Arabidopsis thaliana: one gene and its partners. The protein of the gene in region 1 interacts with the protein of each later gene in a pairwise test. Each region holds a gene or a part of one and is shown on either strand. Other genes may lie near its edges.

Region 1 (7,953 bases):
TGTGTTAATGTAAACATTCCTACTTGTACTATCAGTAGACCAACATCGTATATTTTACCAAAACAATATATATGACGATAGAAAAACAATGGTAATTAGAAAATATTAAATTTTCCTAATGTAGATATTCTTGCATATAGTAACTACTAACCAGTGTCATTATCCCATCTTGAATCTTGATTTGTCTAGGGGTTAATTTAGAAAATGGGAGAATTTAAGCGGCCAATATGTGAAGATTGATGTAAACTAACCAGTGTCATTGTCCCATCTTGAATCTTGATTTGTCTAGGGAAGAAAAAGGGGTCAATTTAGAAAATGGGAGAAGTTAAGCGGCCAATATGTGAAGATTGATGTAACATTTTCAGCCCCCACCACACACTCAAACCCACAATGGACACATGATGGATAAGATTATAACCCGTTAAGATCTTTTTTTCTCTTTGATCAATCTTCACATGGGTTCTGGTCCTACTTGTATATGAAATGTTACCATACTCTCCTCTTTGTATTATACCCTTCACAAATTTTGTCCATAGGGTTTCCGACAAAAGGGTTTGAATCTGAACTGTTCTGATATTTTTAACCAAGCCTGATAGTGATCGTGATCGCTTGGGATGACCAGTCTGTAGTGGCAGATCCATTTTTGTTACCGGGATCATAATATAACTTTTAAGAGAAAAAAATGTTACTGAATTTGAGTGTAGTGGGGTCATTATATTAATACCAAATTTTACAAATGATGATACTGTTTTTTTTTTTAACAATATTTACATGCAATTAAAAAATATTTAGTTATTCAATCTGAGACGTATCGGCGCTATGCCATTGCTAGTCTATATTTGTTACACCGTTAAACTAGTTACACATTGCTTTTTAGAATATGCAAATGATCAAATGCATGGTTGTTTAAGGTTGGATTTTTATTTTTTTATCCAAAGTTTAAGGTTGTATTTGTGCCCATGATTTGATAGCATACCAAATCGATTGGGTTAACAACTGCTATATATTCTTGCAATATATTTTGTTTATGCATCGTAATGTATAGGGAAGTTATCTGCTAATTAATAATTAGAGTGATTTTTGGAAAACAAAATAGAGACAGAATTAATAAAACCATTTTAAAGAGAGAAAGTTTTGACAAAAAAAAAGCGAGAGAAAGTTTTGATAAATCAACCAAAAATGCATATAACAATGACATGTGATTGCTTTTTAATTTGTTTGTGATTTCTGTACCGATCTCCATGTTCGATTTCATCACTAAATCGGATAAAAGTGTATGTTCTTCTTTAATGTTTTTGCATGAAATATCTTGCAATGCATAAAGACTGAGATTTCTACCATTACAAAAGTGGAAAGAGAACATCTATGTAATATTGGGTCTCTGCATTTGCATTTGGGAACGGTTTTGGCGTTTTCAAATGACAACTCACTCCCACTTATAGTCACTGACACACACAGAAACTTTTAAAAGAACAACCATCACTCCACACACTTATGTGTTCTTCAAATGTTTTATTTATCATTTACTTCAATTATACGCACAAGTTACAACAAGCAAGTTTTTTTGTGCAATATTCTCTTTTATAATCCTGTTTGTCCTATACCAAAACCTAGATTAATCACTGTCAAACCAACATCATAAAATTGTTGGTTAAGTCATATAAACCATTCGTTTCCAATAAGTGCCATAGAAATTGAATATTGAGCATAGTCAGAATATATATTTATGTTTGGTCTGGTTTTGTTTGACAAAGAGAGTATATTCAGGTTTATAATCTAATTATCAAGACAGAGTTATACAGAAGATAGATAAACGATACTAGTGTTACGTTTCTATACAATCTTTTGAAAGTAAACAAAAGAAGCCATGTGGAATCAAAAACATTCGAAGCATGGGAAGATCAAATAATCCAGTGATGGAGCTAGAACGGAACTAAATCAATCATGAAACCTAAATAGTTTTTTAATCTTTCTAGAATCTCTTCTTATCAAAAAATTTCCTTATTTGTATAAAAAGCCTCGGGAAAGTTAACTTCTCATCCCAAACTCATTCCTCAGTTTATCTCTCGACTAGAGAGTGAAGGAAAAATCGAAGGATAATCTGTTTCTTCCAGCACAAGTTAACTTGCAAGGTAGTTTTCTCCCTTCGATTTATACTGTCTTGCTCACTTTCTTAGGCTATTTTTAGGACGATTCATTTTTTTAATTTGTATGTTATTCATCTTTTTAGGGTTCTTGTCACATTTTCGGCCTTAATTTGTATGTGTAAAAATATAAATAGTGAAGTAGATATCATTTTATATCGTCTAGCACTCTAGCTACTAGCTTGATCTGAAACTAGTATATATATAAATTATTTGAATGTCAGCTTTTTTTTGTGAAAGTCACACATCACATGGTAGTTGCATATTTCAAGAACTCAACTGAATTCGATTTAAAATTTCTCCAATCATAATTCATAAAGATATGTATTTCAATTTTTTTAAATAAAAATAGATTTTCCTATTTACCATGAAATTTTTTACTCTTTTTATTTGTTCTCATATAAATAGAGTGATAAACTATTTTACAAAGTTCATTTATGTGGAAATTGATAAAATGACAAGAACATGAAAAAAAGACAAAGATTTTTAGTTGAAATCTGTGATCGATCGAACAGAATCGGTTCAGCTACTGTTTTTGTAATAGAACAACTGTCCATTTTTATACCAAAATGACTAAACCACCCTTAGAAGATGCATGTGTTGTGTGGTACTAAAAACTCAAAAAAGCATTGAAACTTTACACCTTTGTGTCGTTTTCTCAATTTTACCCCCGCTTCATTTGGAATTGTCACTCTCAAAATTGGCGTATTTTCCAGTTCATATCTTCATTCATCTATGGCCCCATAAACCATAACTCTTTGAACCATATTTAATAATGTTACCTGCATGCATATACATTCATATAAAACATGTATTCATTATCATGTTAGATATGTCTAGTCTATTATTTCCCAAAAGAAAGACACCTAAGAGAGCAAGATTCTTGTTATTCATGATAACATTTTTGAAGATTCAAAAAAAATGAGTGATTGATGAATTATTTATGGTCAGCATCTAGTAAAATCATATCGACATATCCAGTCAGCCTTAGTAGAAATGCACCAAAGTGATATAGAGTGGATTTCTCTCGATCCGTGTAGAAATGGACCACCACATTGTCTGTTTAGAATATTATATTTTTTTGTATAAAATTGTAGACATAATCTCTTATTAATAAATATTTAATGCAAGTTAGTTATTTTTAATTTTATGAAAAGAGGTTAACTCCAATATGTACCATACTACTTGAAGAAGTTAAATGACAAAAAAAAATATAAGTAATACTACCATTTCCATATATTGTACTGATATTTCAAACTTTAATCAACTTTCCTTTCTATTTCTCCTTCTTTTTTTATGGTCAAACCCATTCTGTTTATGACTAAACATATGACATATCTAACCGTTATTAATTAGTTCACATATCACATATTTGTATAGTGTTTTCATTTTCAGTAATCAAACCATCCATCTACCACAAAAGAACTTGGTCATGTGTCCATTTTTAGAAATCAATAAAATATTATACCATATATTTATAGTATCTAACTTTAAGAGAATAAATATTTTTATTTGCCGATTCATATACACACACATGCGTGTGGTATCTATGTCTATCCATTAAACTAATTATATATAAACTTATTTTCTGGCCACAATTTTTGTTTCGTGTATAGAGAGAGCTCAAAGATGGAACCAACAGAAAAACCATCGACCAAACCATCTTCTCGGACTCTACCTAGAGACACTCGTGGCTCTCTCGAAGTATTCAACCCGTCAACTCAGCTGACCCGACCCGATAACCCGGTGTTCCGTCCTGAACCACCAGCGTGGCAAAACTTGAGTGATCCACGTGGCACCAGTCCTCAACCCCGACCACAACAAGAACCAGCTCCATCCAACCCTGTTCGGTCTGATCAAGAAATCGCTGTCACGACCTCATGGATGGCTCTGAAAGACCCATCACCGGAGACAATCTCCAAGAAGACGATCACCGCCGAGAAACCACAGAAGTCGGCGGTGGCGGCTGAGCAGAGAGCGGCAGAGTGGGGATTGGTTTTGAAGACCGATACAAAGACGGGAAAGCCACAAGGAGTAGGCGTGAGGAACTCTGGTGGAACTGAGAATGATCCTAACGGGAAAAAGACTACATCGCAGAGAAACTCGCAAAACTCTTGCCGGAGCTCCGGTGAGATGTCGGACGGAGATGTTCCCGGCGGGAGGAGTGGGATTCCAAGAGTATCGGAAGATCTAAAAGATGCGTTGTCGACGTTTCAACAAACGTTTGTGGTCTCAGATGCTACAAAACCTGATTATCCGATTATGTATGCAAGTGCTGGTTTCTTCAATATGACTGGTTACACTTCCAAAGAAGTCGTCGGCAGAAACTGGTAAAAAGTTATTCAAAAAATTTTAGAGCATTTTTTTAATATATAAAATACGTTTCGTTTTCTGTAATAATTACCAAAATTGCAAAGTTTTTTCTAATTAAATATCATAGTTTTGTTTTTAGGTTTATGGTTACTATAAATGTATAAAGATATCTTAAATGACTTAGTAATTCTTTCTAAATTTTCAAAAATTAAACCTAACTTTATTTTATTTTTTTAGAACTTTTCGAAACTGTGTACCAAAATTACAAAGATTAAGTTTTAGGTATGGTTATCCTAAATGATTTAGTAACTCTTACTAAATTTCTAAAAACTTTTTATAAACCTAATTTTTATGTTGTTTTTCCAAACTAATAGCCTTTTATAAACTAAGTTTATTTTTTAATGATAACTTAAAATATTTCTTTTAAATCGAACATTTCTTTGCAAATTCGAAAAATTTCTTACAAAAGTTTCCACCATTTTTTGTTCAATGAATGAATTTTATTTACAAAAAGAAAGAAGAAAAGAACATAATTTGGGTTTTTGTTTTATTGTAGCCGATTTTTACAAGGATCAGGTACAGATGCAGATGAGTTAGCAAAGATAAGAGAGACATTAGCTGCTGGTAACAATTATTGTGGGCGTATATTGAATTACAAGAAAGATGGGACCTCTTTTTGGAATCTTCTCACGATTGCTCCCATTAAAGACGAGAGTGGCAAAGTCCTCAAATTTATCGGGTTAGTCCCTTATTCCTTTTTATTTACTCGTTTCTCTCCTTTATTTCTTTCATTCAAAATGTCACCCTTTTTAATGGGTCTAAGTGTGGACCTGTGATTTGTGTTGCTTTCTCCGCAATAATTCAAAGATTTGTATCACCGACGGATCCTATTGTAGAATAACAAAAGAGAATAATCAATCAGGAAAAAGAAAAGAATTATAGAATCTGATAAAAAAATATGATTTTGAGGAAAAATCAGAAGATACCAATATGTTTTGTTTATTTGGACCAGAATGCAAGTGGAGGTGAGCAAGCACACTGAAGGGGCCAAAGAAAAGGCTTTGAGGCCCAATGGGCTTCCGGAATCTCTGATTCGATACGATGGTATTTACATACTTTCTTTTTCTATTTGTTTTTCCAAATTTTTTTCCATTTATTATGTTTTCTTAAAAATATTTTCAAATTTTGTTTTGTAAAAGCCCGCCAAAAAGATATGGCGACAAACTCAGTGACAGAGCTAGTAGAGGCGGTGAAGAGACCTCGGGCACTAAGCGAATCGACGAATCTCCATCCCTTCATGACAAAATCGGAGAGCGATGAACTTCCGAAAAAACCAGCTCGGCGAATGTCCGAAAATGTTGTTCCGTCAGGCCGAAGAAACTCTGGCGGCGGAAGAAGAAACTCGATGCAGCGAATCAACGAAATTCCCGAGAAAAAATCTAGAAAATCTTCCCTTTCCTTCATGGGGTAATAATCCTTACTAGATCATTTGTTTACCTGACAATTACTTTATAAAAATCGATTTAGTCTTTGATATGATTGTTGTGATACTCTGGTGATAGGATCAAGAAGAAGAGCGAATCTTTGGATGAATCTATAGACGATGGATTTATAGAGTATGGAGAAGAAGACGATGAGATTAGTGATAGGGACGAGAGACCTGAGAGTGTGGATGATAAAGTGAGACAAAAGGAAATGAGAAAGGGTATTGATCTAGCTACTACACTCGAACGTATCGAGAAGAATTTCGTCATCACTGATCCTAGGCTTCCCGATAATCCCATTGTAAGAACAAATGTTTTAGAAAAATGGAAACTTTTTTTGTTATGTTTCATTTCGATTGGTCTGAAAACGTATTGTTTGCTTTGTCCTATGTTTCTAGATTTTTGCATCTGATAGTTTCTTGGAGCTCACGGAATATAGCCGTGAAGAAATTCTTGGAAGAAATTGCAGGTATTACATGAATGTGATCTCAAAATGTCTTTTGAAAATATTTTTGAGCATAGAGCATGTGTTTATAAATTTTGTTTCATGGTTTTAGGTTTCTACAAGGTCCAGAGACTGATCTAACCACAGTGAAGAAGATTCGAAATGCTATTGATAACCAAACCGAAGTGACAGTTCAGCTCATCAACTACACCAAGAGCGGTACTCGATTTTTTCGATATTCTTAGATTAATCTGTCGATCATTGTATAAAGTTTTAAATTTACATTATATTCTCTGTGGCAGGAAAGAAGTTCTGGAACATTTTCCACTTGCAACCTATGCGTGATCAGAAGGTATAATGGTTTACATAGATATCTTGCATTATACGGCACCTTCAAACTAATCCTCAATTTCTTTTGGTTTATGAATTTAAAACTGAAGATGTCTATATTCTTTCTTTGATATGTTGTTGACAGGGAGAAGTACAATACTTTATTGGAGTTCAACTAGACGGGAGCAAGCACGTAGAACCAGTTCGCAATGTCATTGAAGAAACCGCAGTGAAAGAGGGAGAAGACCTGGTCTGGAATCCTAAACTATTGATCTTGATTTAGTATTCGTTTGATAGAAAATCAAGTATTAAACCTTAATCTATATTCTTTAGGTGAAAAAAACAGCTGTGAATATCGATGAAGCGGTTCGAGAACTTCCTGATGCCAACATGGTAAGTGATTGTCTAAGGATCTGAATATGATCATTTTAGATTAAGGTTTATTAGAATATATCTGACAGAATGTTTTATTGTGTCTTGTTTCTGAAGACACCAGAGGATTTATGGGCAAACCACTCAAAGGTTGTTCATTGTAAGCCTCACAGGAAAGATTCACCACCATGGATAGCTATCCAAAAGGTGTTGGAAAGTGGTGAACCGATTGGTTTGAAGCATTTCAAACCGGTGAAACCTTTGGGTTCTGGTGACACAGGAAGGTCTGAAACTCTATCTAATCTAATGAAATAGCTTACAAAAAAAAAGAACATTTCCTTCATTAATCTTATAATATCCCATTTGTGTTTTATCAGTGTGCATCTAGTGGAACTCGTTGGAACAGATCAGTTGTTTGCAATGAAAGCAATGGACAAGGCTGTTATGCTTAACCGAAACAAAGTAATTACAGTAACTTGCACTTCAAGGAATCTTGAGTTTCGCTTTTTATTTGTAAGTTTTGTAGCCACTGATATAATTTTTTGCAGGTACATAGAGCTAGAGCTGAGAGAGAGATCCTAGATTTGCTTGACCATCCTTTTCTTCCTGCACTCTACGCTTCTTTTCAGGTCAAAACCTCTGTTTACACATATATATATATATATATATATATATATATATATGCGTGTCTCTTTGGTCTTTGGTTACTAATGGATCATGTTTTATTCTGCAGACAAAAACACATATATGTCTTATAACAGATTACTATCCAGGAGGAGAACTCTTCATGCTCCTAGATCGACAACCTAGGAAGGTTCTCAAAGAAGATGCTGTAAGGTACAAGTGTTCCTCGCTCGAAAAAGTC
Region 2 (4,652 bases), 6.2 Mb from region 1:
TCTTCCTCCATAACCGCAACAAGCCATCAACGGGTCCACAAATCCTGAAACCTCATAAACCAAATAAACCAATCAAAACCGGTTAACTAATTAAAATAGGACTTTTATAGATGCGGTCGATACGCACCGTATAGTTTGAAATCGGCGGAGAGTTTATATTTGATGGAGTAAATATCAACGTAGACGAGAGTGGCGTCTTTGAATTGGGATCTCAGTTCGTTGCAGAGACTAAGGAGTCCTTTGTTGAAGGCTTTGGCGACTTCATTGTGAACCCGGAAACAACCAATCGGGTCAAGATCCGAATCGTTATGCAGGTGAATCGCCAATTCTTTTGGTGCACAGCCCAATGGGCCTGTGTTGTGTACCCAAAACTTTCTCCCTCCGTATAAATATACAGTCTTCAGTACAACATACCAAATCACAAATCAGCCGTATTAGGTATGGTTTAATAGTCAACTAGAAAGTTTTAAACAATTGCCCATTTGCCCCAAGAAAGTTGGAAAATCAAATATGGGTAGAGTTTTTTAGTTTTACTTAAATAATGTCCCTGAAGTTTTTAGTTACCGATTTACCACCCTAATAAGTTTATGAAAAAATAAGTTTTGGGGCTAACAGTTTACGTATATGTAAAAATAAAAAAAAATTGTGGAAGAAATGAAGTACCTGTATGGCTTTCTTTATCTCAAGAAGCATGGAAGGAATTTTTTCGACAACGGGTGCATAGGTTAAATTCGAATCATATAGAGCAAGTAAAAGATCGTTTTGTCCAATATCGATCATGTACAACGCGTTTCTAAATCCATTATCATCAATAAGGTCTCTTCTACCTATCAACAAGGAAACATATTTTGTAAGTAATTAAGACGAGATATGTATAAATTGTTTGGGACAAAAGTAATTACCGGAAGAGATAAGTTCTTGAGAACGGTTTTTGAAATGGACGAATTGACGAATTTGAATGGCAAGAGGGAAGGAAAAGATCGGAAGAGCGGTGGCGCCCGAGACTGCGAAATTGACTCCTCTTTTGAAATTTGGTGAAAGTGAATCCAAATATGGACTCAAATATGTCATCTTTAAATGTTCACCTGATCATATATCAAAAGGTTTAATCAAATATATAACATTACATGTACATAAAACATATATTTAAAGAATTGAAACTCTTGTTGAAAAAAAAGAGAAAGAATTGGGACTCACAGTAGAAGTCAACGATGAGTCGACCGTCACCGAGACGACCAGTGCCTCTATGGAAGAAGGTAATGCCATGAGGGAGTCCGATAGGAAGTCCAACTCCAGCAAGAACTCCTCCGGTGTCGGAGTTAGAGTCGCCGAAGTTTATCAATATAGGTTTCTTGTTTGACTTGTAACTAGTTTCAGAGTTAGAGCAAACCAAAAGAGAGAGACATAAAACTAAGAAGAAGCATTGTAGAGAGGAAACAGTGTAATCCATTTCTTTTGAATTCTTGCTACTCAGATAATTTTAATCAAGATTCACGATCTGAAGCTTTTACATATAGTAATGTCTTTGGCTTAGAAAGTCAAATTTTTTGAATGTAAGTCAATAAGTACTATTGCAAGTCGCATTATATAAATCTCTAAATAATCTCAAAGTAAAAGCAATCAATCAACCTATAGATCCGATCGGCCATGTTCTATAAGGATTGTCAGAACTTGTTGAGCTATTAAAATACTCCGTACAACTTATTTGATTAATATGGGCCAAATCCGAAAATAAATGGACCTTATCGAATATTTTGTTCGAAGTCCAGGCCCACTAATCGAGTGCGAAAAAACAAAAACAAATGCGGTGAGCGTGGATCGAACACGCGACCTTCAGATCTTCAGTCTGACGCTCTCCCAACTGAGCTATCCCCGCTACTTGTTATCGAAGCTAAAATAATAAAATAAATACAAATATTTGTAAAAGCGAGAATTTGTGATTTTTTTTGGCAATAAGTAGAGAATAGTTGTGTTCCACGATTCCTCCTCTCACGTTCGAAGACCATTTCTTGTTCTTTGGACGACCATCGGCGACAGTGTTAAGTCTAGAGTCTTCTTCTTCTTCGGCGTAGTTTTTTCCCCGGTAAGTCTCCGTTCATCGCCGAATCTGTATCCCTCTTTCTCTTTTTGTTTACTTGATCGTCTCTTTCGATTATGTATATCGCGATCGGAGTCCGTCATCTCCAGATCTGTGTGTATGCGCTTAATTTCGTTATGGATGTGACATGATTTCTTGTGATTCGTTTCCTTAGGGTTGATAGATCTGTATCCTGCATGATCGTTATAGATAGTGATCTAGATTTGTCTTTTTTCAGATCGAAATTTAGATCTCTTATTGTTAATCATGTTGATTTTATTGAAACTTGCTCATACGAATGAGATCCGAGAGCATTTGGAAACATAGGATTGCTTTGCGTTGTAATTGTTTTCTCAAGTGATGGATATTGAATCTATGTGATTGATGCAAAATGAGTTCCAGAGAATTTATAATCCTAGGATTGCATGATAACTTCTTTGCTTTGTGATTGTTTTCTAAAGTATTTATTCCATATGAATGCTGCAATTGAGTATGCGTTTAGACTGAAGGTGTTATTTGAAAACTCTGAAACAGGCTTGAAAAATGGGTCTATCCTTCGGAAAGTTGTTCAGCAAGCTCTTTGCAAAGAAAGAGATGCGTATCCTCATGGTGGGTCTCGATGCAGCTGGTAAGACTACGATCTTGTACAAGCTCAAGCTTGGAGAGATCGTGACTACGATTCCAACCATTGGTGAGTTTCTAACTTTGCATACTCTTTCTTTCATCTAATTATTATTCATCTCTAAACTTAGTATGTGAAATTGACACATTGTTATGCAATCATCTCAAGGGCTTAGGTTGAATTTTTCGTATCATGGTTGGATTCCTAGATTAGATTGGAACTTGAATATATAGTTGCAAGTTTTTTCATTTGGTTTGCATGCGGTGTACTTCTACTTGCTCAAGGGCATTCATCTTTGATTCATGGTTTGTGTATGATTCATAGAATGAGTGCTTGAATTTTTTAGATCTGTCGTATTGACAATACCTGTTCTTGCTAGGTTTCAATGTGGAGACTGTGGAATACAAGAACATTAGCTTTACCGTGTGGGATGTCGGGGGTCAAGACAAGGTATTGTGATTACAGTCCTTTACCAGCATTCGACAATTACTATAGCTAAATCCTTGATTCTCCATGAGCTGTCCTATTTTACTGAATGGCACTTTCACTATTCCAATATAACCTTTTTTGTTTGCTTGCTCATCCAGATTCGTCCATTGTGGAGGCACTACTTCCAGAACACTCAGGGACTTATCTTTGTGGTGGACAGCAATGATCGTGACCGTGTTGTGGAAGCCAGAGATGAGCTTCACAGAATGTTGAACGAAGTAAAACTCAAACAAAAATCTCCTTCTCTAATGTTACATTATGAAGCAGTTGGCATCATTTTGTTTCCTTTTTGACTGTTGCAGGATGAGTTGAGAGATGCTGTGCTTCTCGTTTTTGCTAACAAGCAAGATCTTCCAAATGCGATGAACGCCGCTGAGATAACCGATAAGCTTGGACTTCACTCTCTCCGTCAACGACACTGGTGAGCCAAAGAAAACCAAACCAAATCTCTTTATTTACCAGATACCTATATCGTAACATGAAAAGCTGATGTAAATCGTTGGTGGGGTTTGTTGAACAGGTACATACAGAGCACATGTGCTACCTCCGGAGAAGGGCTTTATGAGGGACTTGACTGGCTCTCTAACAACATCGCAAACAAGGTATACAACTTTACAATTTTTGAAATCGTATTAGTAAGAAATTGATTGTTAAAGACTTACTCAAATGTGTGATTAACTTGCAGGCTTAGGAGAACAACGTGTGGTTTGGTTTTTAATCGAGGAGAGTCTTGTCTTCTTCCTTCTATCTTTTGTTCTTTCGTCTCAAACTCTTATCATTTCATACTCTTTGTTCTTCGCTCTAATAATTTACAAGTTTTTTTTTTTGTTGCTTTTATCCTATAATTCAGACTCTTATAAAATGGGGCCCAATTTCGGCGGATATTCCAATTTTTTTTTTTTTTTTGCCGGCATCCAATTTCTTTAGGCTTCTGCATTTACCGAATATATTTCTTTGAGATGGCCCAAATTCGTGAGATGAACTTGAAAAATGTTGGAACAGAATCCAAACAGTATTCAAACGGTATAACTAAGAGAAATCAAAATCAACGTATTTTGATTCCTATATGTCATCAAGTATACTAATAAAAAAAAAAACTGAATTTAGAACTAATCCGCAAATCTGATTGGATGGGGGCAGCACCAGTACAAAGAGCTACAGTTCCCGATTTAATCATAATTAAATACGTTGTAAGAAAAATGAAGAAGAAGTTAATTAATAGTAGATCTCCACTACACTTTTAACAATTACATACACTCAAAATCTTAGCGGCATTTTTTCTAAAGGTTTCCCAAAGAAGGAGAGCTCACTTTATCTTTCGTCTCTCTTCTTAGGTCTAGGGTTCTGGTGGAGAAGATTGTGGTTGTTTCTTAGGGTTTTCTGAGAGAAAGCATGTTGTTAACTACGGGAAGAAAGGAGAAACTCTCTGTTTCTAAAGGTTCTGAAATTGAAATCTCGTCTCAA
Region 3 (4,444 bases), on another chromosome or scaffold:
CATTATCGGATTCAATGGTGGCAGAGGAAGGAGATTCACGGTTGCCTACAACGTGTGCCTAGAGAGTCAAAGTTTGAACATTATCAGCTTTGAAAACTGATCTGGAATATAATGCTTGTTCTAGGATCTTGATCTTGCACTATATTAGTCTTAAGAATATTCTTGTTTTTGTGGAATTTCTGGTTTATCAGTAAAACGCATTTATCCTACTGACCAGCACAAAGAAAGAAGAAGTAAATTCCCTAGATAAAAGAGAAAAATTAAACAACCTAGATAACCTAATAATGGTAATATAACGATGTCAGCATTATGTGTTAATCTTTGTGAGATAAAAATTCTTATCTTCAGCAACGTGTTAATCTTTCTCTAAGCTTAAGCTTTTTCTAATTTCTAAGAGAGTTTGCAACATACTGTTTTCAACTGGGATTTTTGGGTAGATTCTTAACTGAATATTCTGCATAACCTATAAAATCACCAAAAGGCCAAAATGCCAAATATGTTGAGAAAAAGAAGAAGGGAAAACTTATAATTGTTATAAAAAAATATATCATGATTTCGAAGGAATGTATATACATCTACCAAAGTCTTAATCGGACAAAGATGACCCCAAAGAGAAGGTTTTTCAGATGATACAACTCTTCATCAGCAGAATATACAAAGAAGCTTTCATGGCAGCATGATCAAAATTCAAAAATAGTCTAATGGAGTCTAATATTGCCACAATGAGAAGATCATTCTTTCCTTAACAAAAAAAGTCTTCAGAGATTCTGATTTCGTGATAAAGCCAAGAAGAAGACACTGGCCATTGATATCAAAGTATACCTGCAAGGAGAAATGACGTTTTACAAGATCCTGATCACGAGACTGAGAGTAATTGTACTGAACTACTGGTTATAGCTCGCTGGTGTTTTCAGGTCTTTATATTACCTGGAAGATTTAAAACGAGTGGCCAACCGATGTGAATCCAGCGGCTTTAACATCCTTAAGAGTAGATGATAACCAGTCCAAGCCTTCATAAAGCCCGTCTCCACGAAGAGCACAAGTACCTTGTATGTGCCATTTCCTGTTCTTGAGATCAAATAAGCCTAACCCTTCACATACTTCTCTCGGTGACATGGCTCCTCTCTAATATCCAGCAGAGTAAAGAAGTGAATTGAGGAATTATAAGCACAGACGAGAAACAAACAAAAACCAAAAGAAAATATCGAATTACCATGTCCTGTTTGTTTGCAAACACCAGAATGATACTGTTTAGCATGAATGGGTCTTTTATGATCTCCTGTGGCAATCCGAGAGCAGGGTAAGGTATAATCCAGAGAGTTTACGAAAAGTCTTTTGCAAGTTCTGAGGTATTATACCTGAAATTCTTGCTTTGCTTTCCCGATCCTCTCTCGATCTAAGGAATCCACCACGTATATCTGCAAGAGCATCATAGAGTAGTCTTATACCATGGTCGATAAAGATGGAAAAAGATCTAAAGATTGGCCAAGCAACATATGATACTGCAACATCATAACCAAATATAGGATAACATATGCCAACATAGAGATGGAAAAACCTTGAAAGTTAAGTATCTGACTGAAAGCAAAAATCGAAAAAAAAACTATATACGTACAAGTCCATCAGTATTATTGAAGTAATGCCTCCAAAGAGGTCTCAGTTTCTCTTGGCCACCAACATCCCAAACTGTGAACATCACATTCTTGTACTGAACTTTCTCAACATTGAATCCTGAGTAACATAAGTTTAAATTGTCAGCAGACATAATCCAAACAACCAAAAGGAAAATGACAGAACAATAATCATAGATAAAAGTATAATGTCACAAGAACCATGTATCATAACTGAATGACACAAGAGAAATTCACAGACACAACTTATGACTTCAGAAGTACAAGGCATCACAAAAGTTGGCAGAATATCATGAGATTCAGCTGAAGGAGAAGATAGATGTTCCGAGTATCTACAATTCTGACAGCATTCACCAAAGATCTATCCAAATCTTGTTCCAAAACAAGAAATGAATCCAACTACATAGCTTCTGAGATCAAGAATAATCACAGCTCAAAAAACAACCAGAAAGCTTACCAATGGTGGGAACAGTAGACAAAACTTCTCCAATATGAAGCTTGTAGAGAATAGTTGTTTTTCCAGCAGCATCCAGCCCCAGCATAACGACCTGTCATTAATCACAAAATTGGAAAAAAAAAAGAGAGATTCAAAAATCATTTCTTCAATTCTGATTCATCATGCCACAGCTAACAACAAATCTATGATTCGTAATAGAGAAGAATCCAGAAAACACAAGCTTGAGTTATAAAGTCTTTTCCAAATCCAAAATTCCGAAACATCAAAGGTCAGACATGGGCGATAAAAGCTATGACTAAAACCAAAACAAATCAAAGATGACAAAATTACACGAGATCCCATCCAGATAAATAGCACGAGAGATGATGAGATTACCCTCATTTCTTGATTGCCGAAGAAAGTATCGAATAGCTTACGAAAAGCTTGACCCATCGCTCCCAAACCCAAAAAAAAAAACTCTTCAAAAATTAGTTTTGTTTTATCTTATCGAGCTAGACAGAAAAAGCAATCGTAGAGAAAATCAGACGACGACGAGGAACGATCGATTTGGAGGAGGAGACAAAGGAGACGGTGAATAGATTTCAGAGAAATTGAAGGGAAATAATTTTACGAGTTTCGGTCCAAAGGATTTCAGGAGCAAGTCTTCTTCAACGGAATATTCATATTCCTTTCAAATTATTTTACTTCCACCATTCTCTCATTTTCTCAAATATATAAATTTAATAATACTATCGCAAAATAGTGAATATTTTTTTCTAGGCTTTGCAGCCCAATTTACAAATAATGGGTCGGATTGGTTTCTAACTTTTTATTTTGGGTTGGCAGGCTCGGTTTAACAATAGCCACATATATCACCTACCAAACGAAACGAATTCAGTGAGTATTGAGTCAAAAATCAGAAGTAATAACAATTTTAATATCTTAGGGGGTAAATTGAAAGTGAAATTTTAAGAGATTTGTGTAAAATTTATAAATCTAATGTTATTCAAACATGGATTTTAAAAAGTCTCATGAAATTCAGTGTTATTGAACTAATGATTTCAAAATCCATCTTAAAATATACTTTTATTGATAAACAATTTGTGGATTTGAATTTAAGGTGTGCATAATATCTGAATTTGAACACCCAATCGTTAGTAATAATTTGAACCAGTATCCGAATGTATATCCTAACATACCTACAATTTAAGTACATAGTAATAAATTATTATTAGCATTTATATTTATAATAATTTTAGTGTCAAAATATTAGGATTTTAAAATATTTTAGATATTTTTGGGTATTTAATCTATTTTTGAATAAATTTGGGTAAAAATGTTCAAAATTTTTAGATGTTTTGTATACTTTCTAGGAGTTTAGATAGATTCGTTTATAAAAAAGTTGATTTTTGGGAACTTCGGATAATCCAAATTCGAAATATTCTGACCCAACCCACAATATAGAATTATCCGAATAGATTTTATACCTCTAAATTTGAAAACCTAAAAATCTAAAATATTCGATCTGAATTCAAACGGATACTCTAACTCCCACCCTTTTTGCTAGTGTTATAATTTCCTATTTTTTCAACGGATGATCATAAAAAACAAAAGTCTACTACTTTGTTGACGGGTAAAATAGATTATTTTCTTTTATTTTTTCCCTCTAAAGTCTTAAAATAAATCATTCAACCAATCAAATCTTATGACAAATCAATAATTTTTATTTTTTTGGTTGAAAAAATAATCTAATAATTGCTTTATTAAGATATCATGTACAAAGTACAGATACAAATACAATCCTAAAAATGTCCTTTCTATAAGAAGAAAATTACATAAAAAAACAAAAACATTTTCTCTGAAAAAAAAGAAAATATCAAAAAACGGATTTTGTTATTAAATTTGTCGTTCATAAAAAAATTTGATTAAAAAAGTTGTTTACTTGTTATATAAAGAAAGAGAAGAGATCGGTACCAACCACGAAACACGAGCTTTACACTTGCTCGGTGGTTCATTTACGACCACACTCTCTCTTCTCTTTAGCCCTCTCCTCTCTATTTATTCTCCAACAAACTCTCTCTTCTCTTTTCAAGTCTTCTTCTTCATTACTCGCACCATGACCAAACCCTCCGACCCAACCAGAGACTCCCACGTGGCAGTTCTCGCTTTTCCTTTCGGCACTCATGCAGCTCCTCTCCTCACCGTCACGCGCCGCCTCGCCTCCGCCTCTCCTTCCACCGTCTTCTCTTTCTTCAACACCGCACAATCCAACTCTTCGTTATTTTCCTCCGGTGACGAAGCAGATCGTCCGGCGAACATCAGAGTATACGATATTGCCGACGGTGTTCCGGAGGGATACGTGTTTAGCGGGAGACCA

The links. The genes of interacting proteins can lie anywhere in the genome.
Region 2: the proteins of PHOT1 (region 1) and ARFA1E interact in a two-hybrid assay, tested with the Arabidopsis thaliana proteins (one study listed by BioGRID).
Region 3: the proteins of PHOT1 (region 1) and ARFB1B interact in a two-hybrid assay, tested with the Arabidopsis thaliana proteins (one study listed by BioGRID).

Annotation. Positions count from the first base shown.
Region 1 is NC_003074.8:16,814,784-16,822,736, forward strand, and holds the start of PHOT1 (phototropin 1), read left to right. Parts: upstream 1-1,937; 5' UTR 1,938-2,132; intron 2,133-3,563; exon of another isoform or gene 3,564-3,760; 5' UTR 3,761-3,773; coding exon 3,774-4,474; intron 4,475-5,013; coding exon 5,014-5,196; intron 5,197-5,469; coding exon 5,470-5,561; intron 5,562-5,656; coding exon 5,657-5,924; intron 5,925-6,019; coding exon 6,020-6,242; intron 6,243-6,339; coding exon 6,340-6,410; intron 6,411-6,498; coding exon 6,499-6,605; intron 6,606-6,688; coding exon 6,689-6,738; intron 6,739-6,861; coding exon 6,862-6,966; intron 6,967-7,049; coding exon 7,050-7,109; intron 7,110-7,205; coding exon 7,206-7,372; intron 7,373-7,465; coding exon 7,466-7,550; intron 7,551-7,636; coding exon 7,637-7,717; intron 7,718-7,821; coding exon 7,822-7,925; intron 7,926-7,953. UniProt on the Arabidopsis thaliana protein: Protein kinase that acts as a blue light (BL) photoreceptor in a signal-transduction pathway for photo-induced movements.
Region 2 is NC_003074.8:23,049,667-23,054,318, forward strand, and holds ARFA1E (ADP-ribosylation factor A1E), read left to right. Parts: upstream 1-1,877; 5' UTR 1,878-2,083; intron 2,084-2,611; 5' UTR 2,612-2,620; coding exon 2,621-2,768; intron 2,769-3,078; coding exon 3,079-3,149; intron 3,150-3,286; coding exon 3,287-3,406; intron 3,407-3,490; coding exon 3,491-3,609; intron 3,610-3,708; coding exon 3,709-3,790; intron 3,791-3,873; coding exon 3,874-3,879; 3' UTR 3,880-3,920; exon of another isoform or gene 3,921-4,004; 3' UTR 4,005-4,151; downstream 4,152-4,652. Other genes in the region: AT3G62280 (GDSL-like Lipase/Acylhydrolase superfamily protein), read right to left, coding at 1-44, 128-398, 664-827, 903-1,085, 1,198-1,450; DUF7 (agenet domain protein (DOMAIN OF UNKNOWN FUNCTION 724 7)), read left to right, coding at 4,581-4,652.
Region 3 is NC_003076.8:5,609,132-5,613,575, reverse strand, and holds ARFB1B (ADP-ribosylation factor B1B), read right to left. Parts: upstream 2,836-4,444; 5' UTR 2,521-2,835; coding exon 2,464-2,520; intron 2,180-2,463; coding exon 2,089-2,179; intron 1,732-2,088; coding exon 1,616-1,731; intron 1,419-1,615; coding exon 1,359-1,418; intron 1,280-1,358; coding exon 1,214-1,279; intron 1,126-1,213; coding exon 937-1,125; 3' UTR 928-936; exon of another isoform or gene 823-927; 3' UTR 502-822; downstream 1-501. Other genes in the region: AT5G17070 (serine/threonine-protein phosphatase 4 regulatory subunit-like protein), read left to right, coding at 1-62; UGT78D2 (UDP-glucosyl transferase 78D2), read left to right, coding at 4,184-4,444.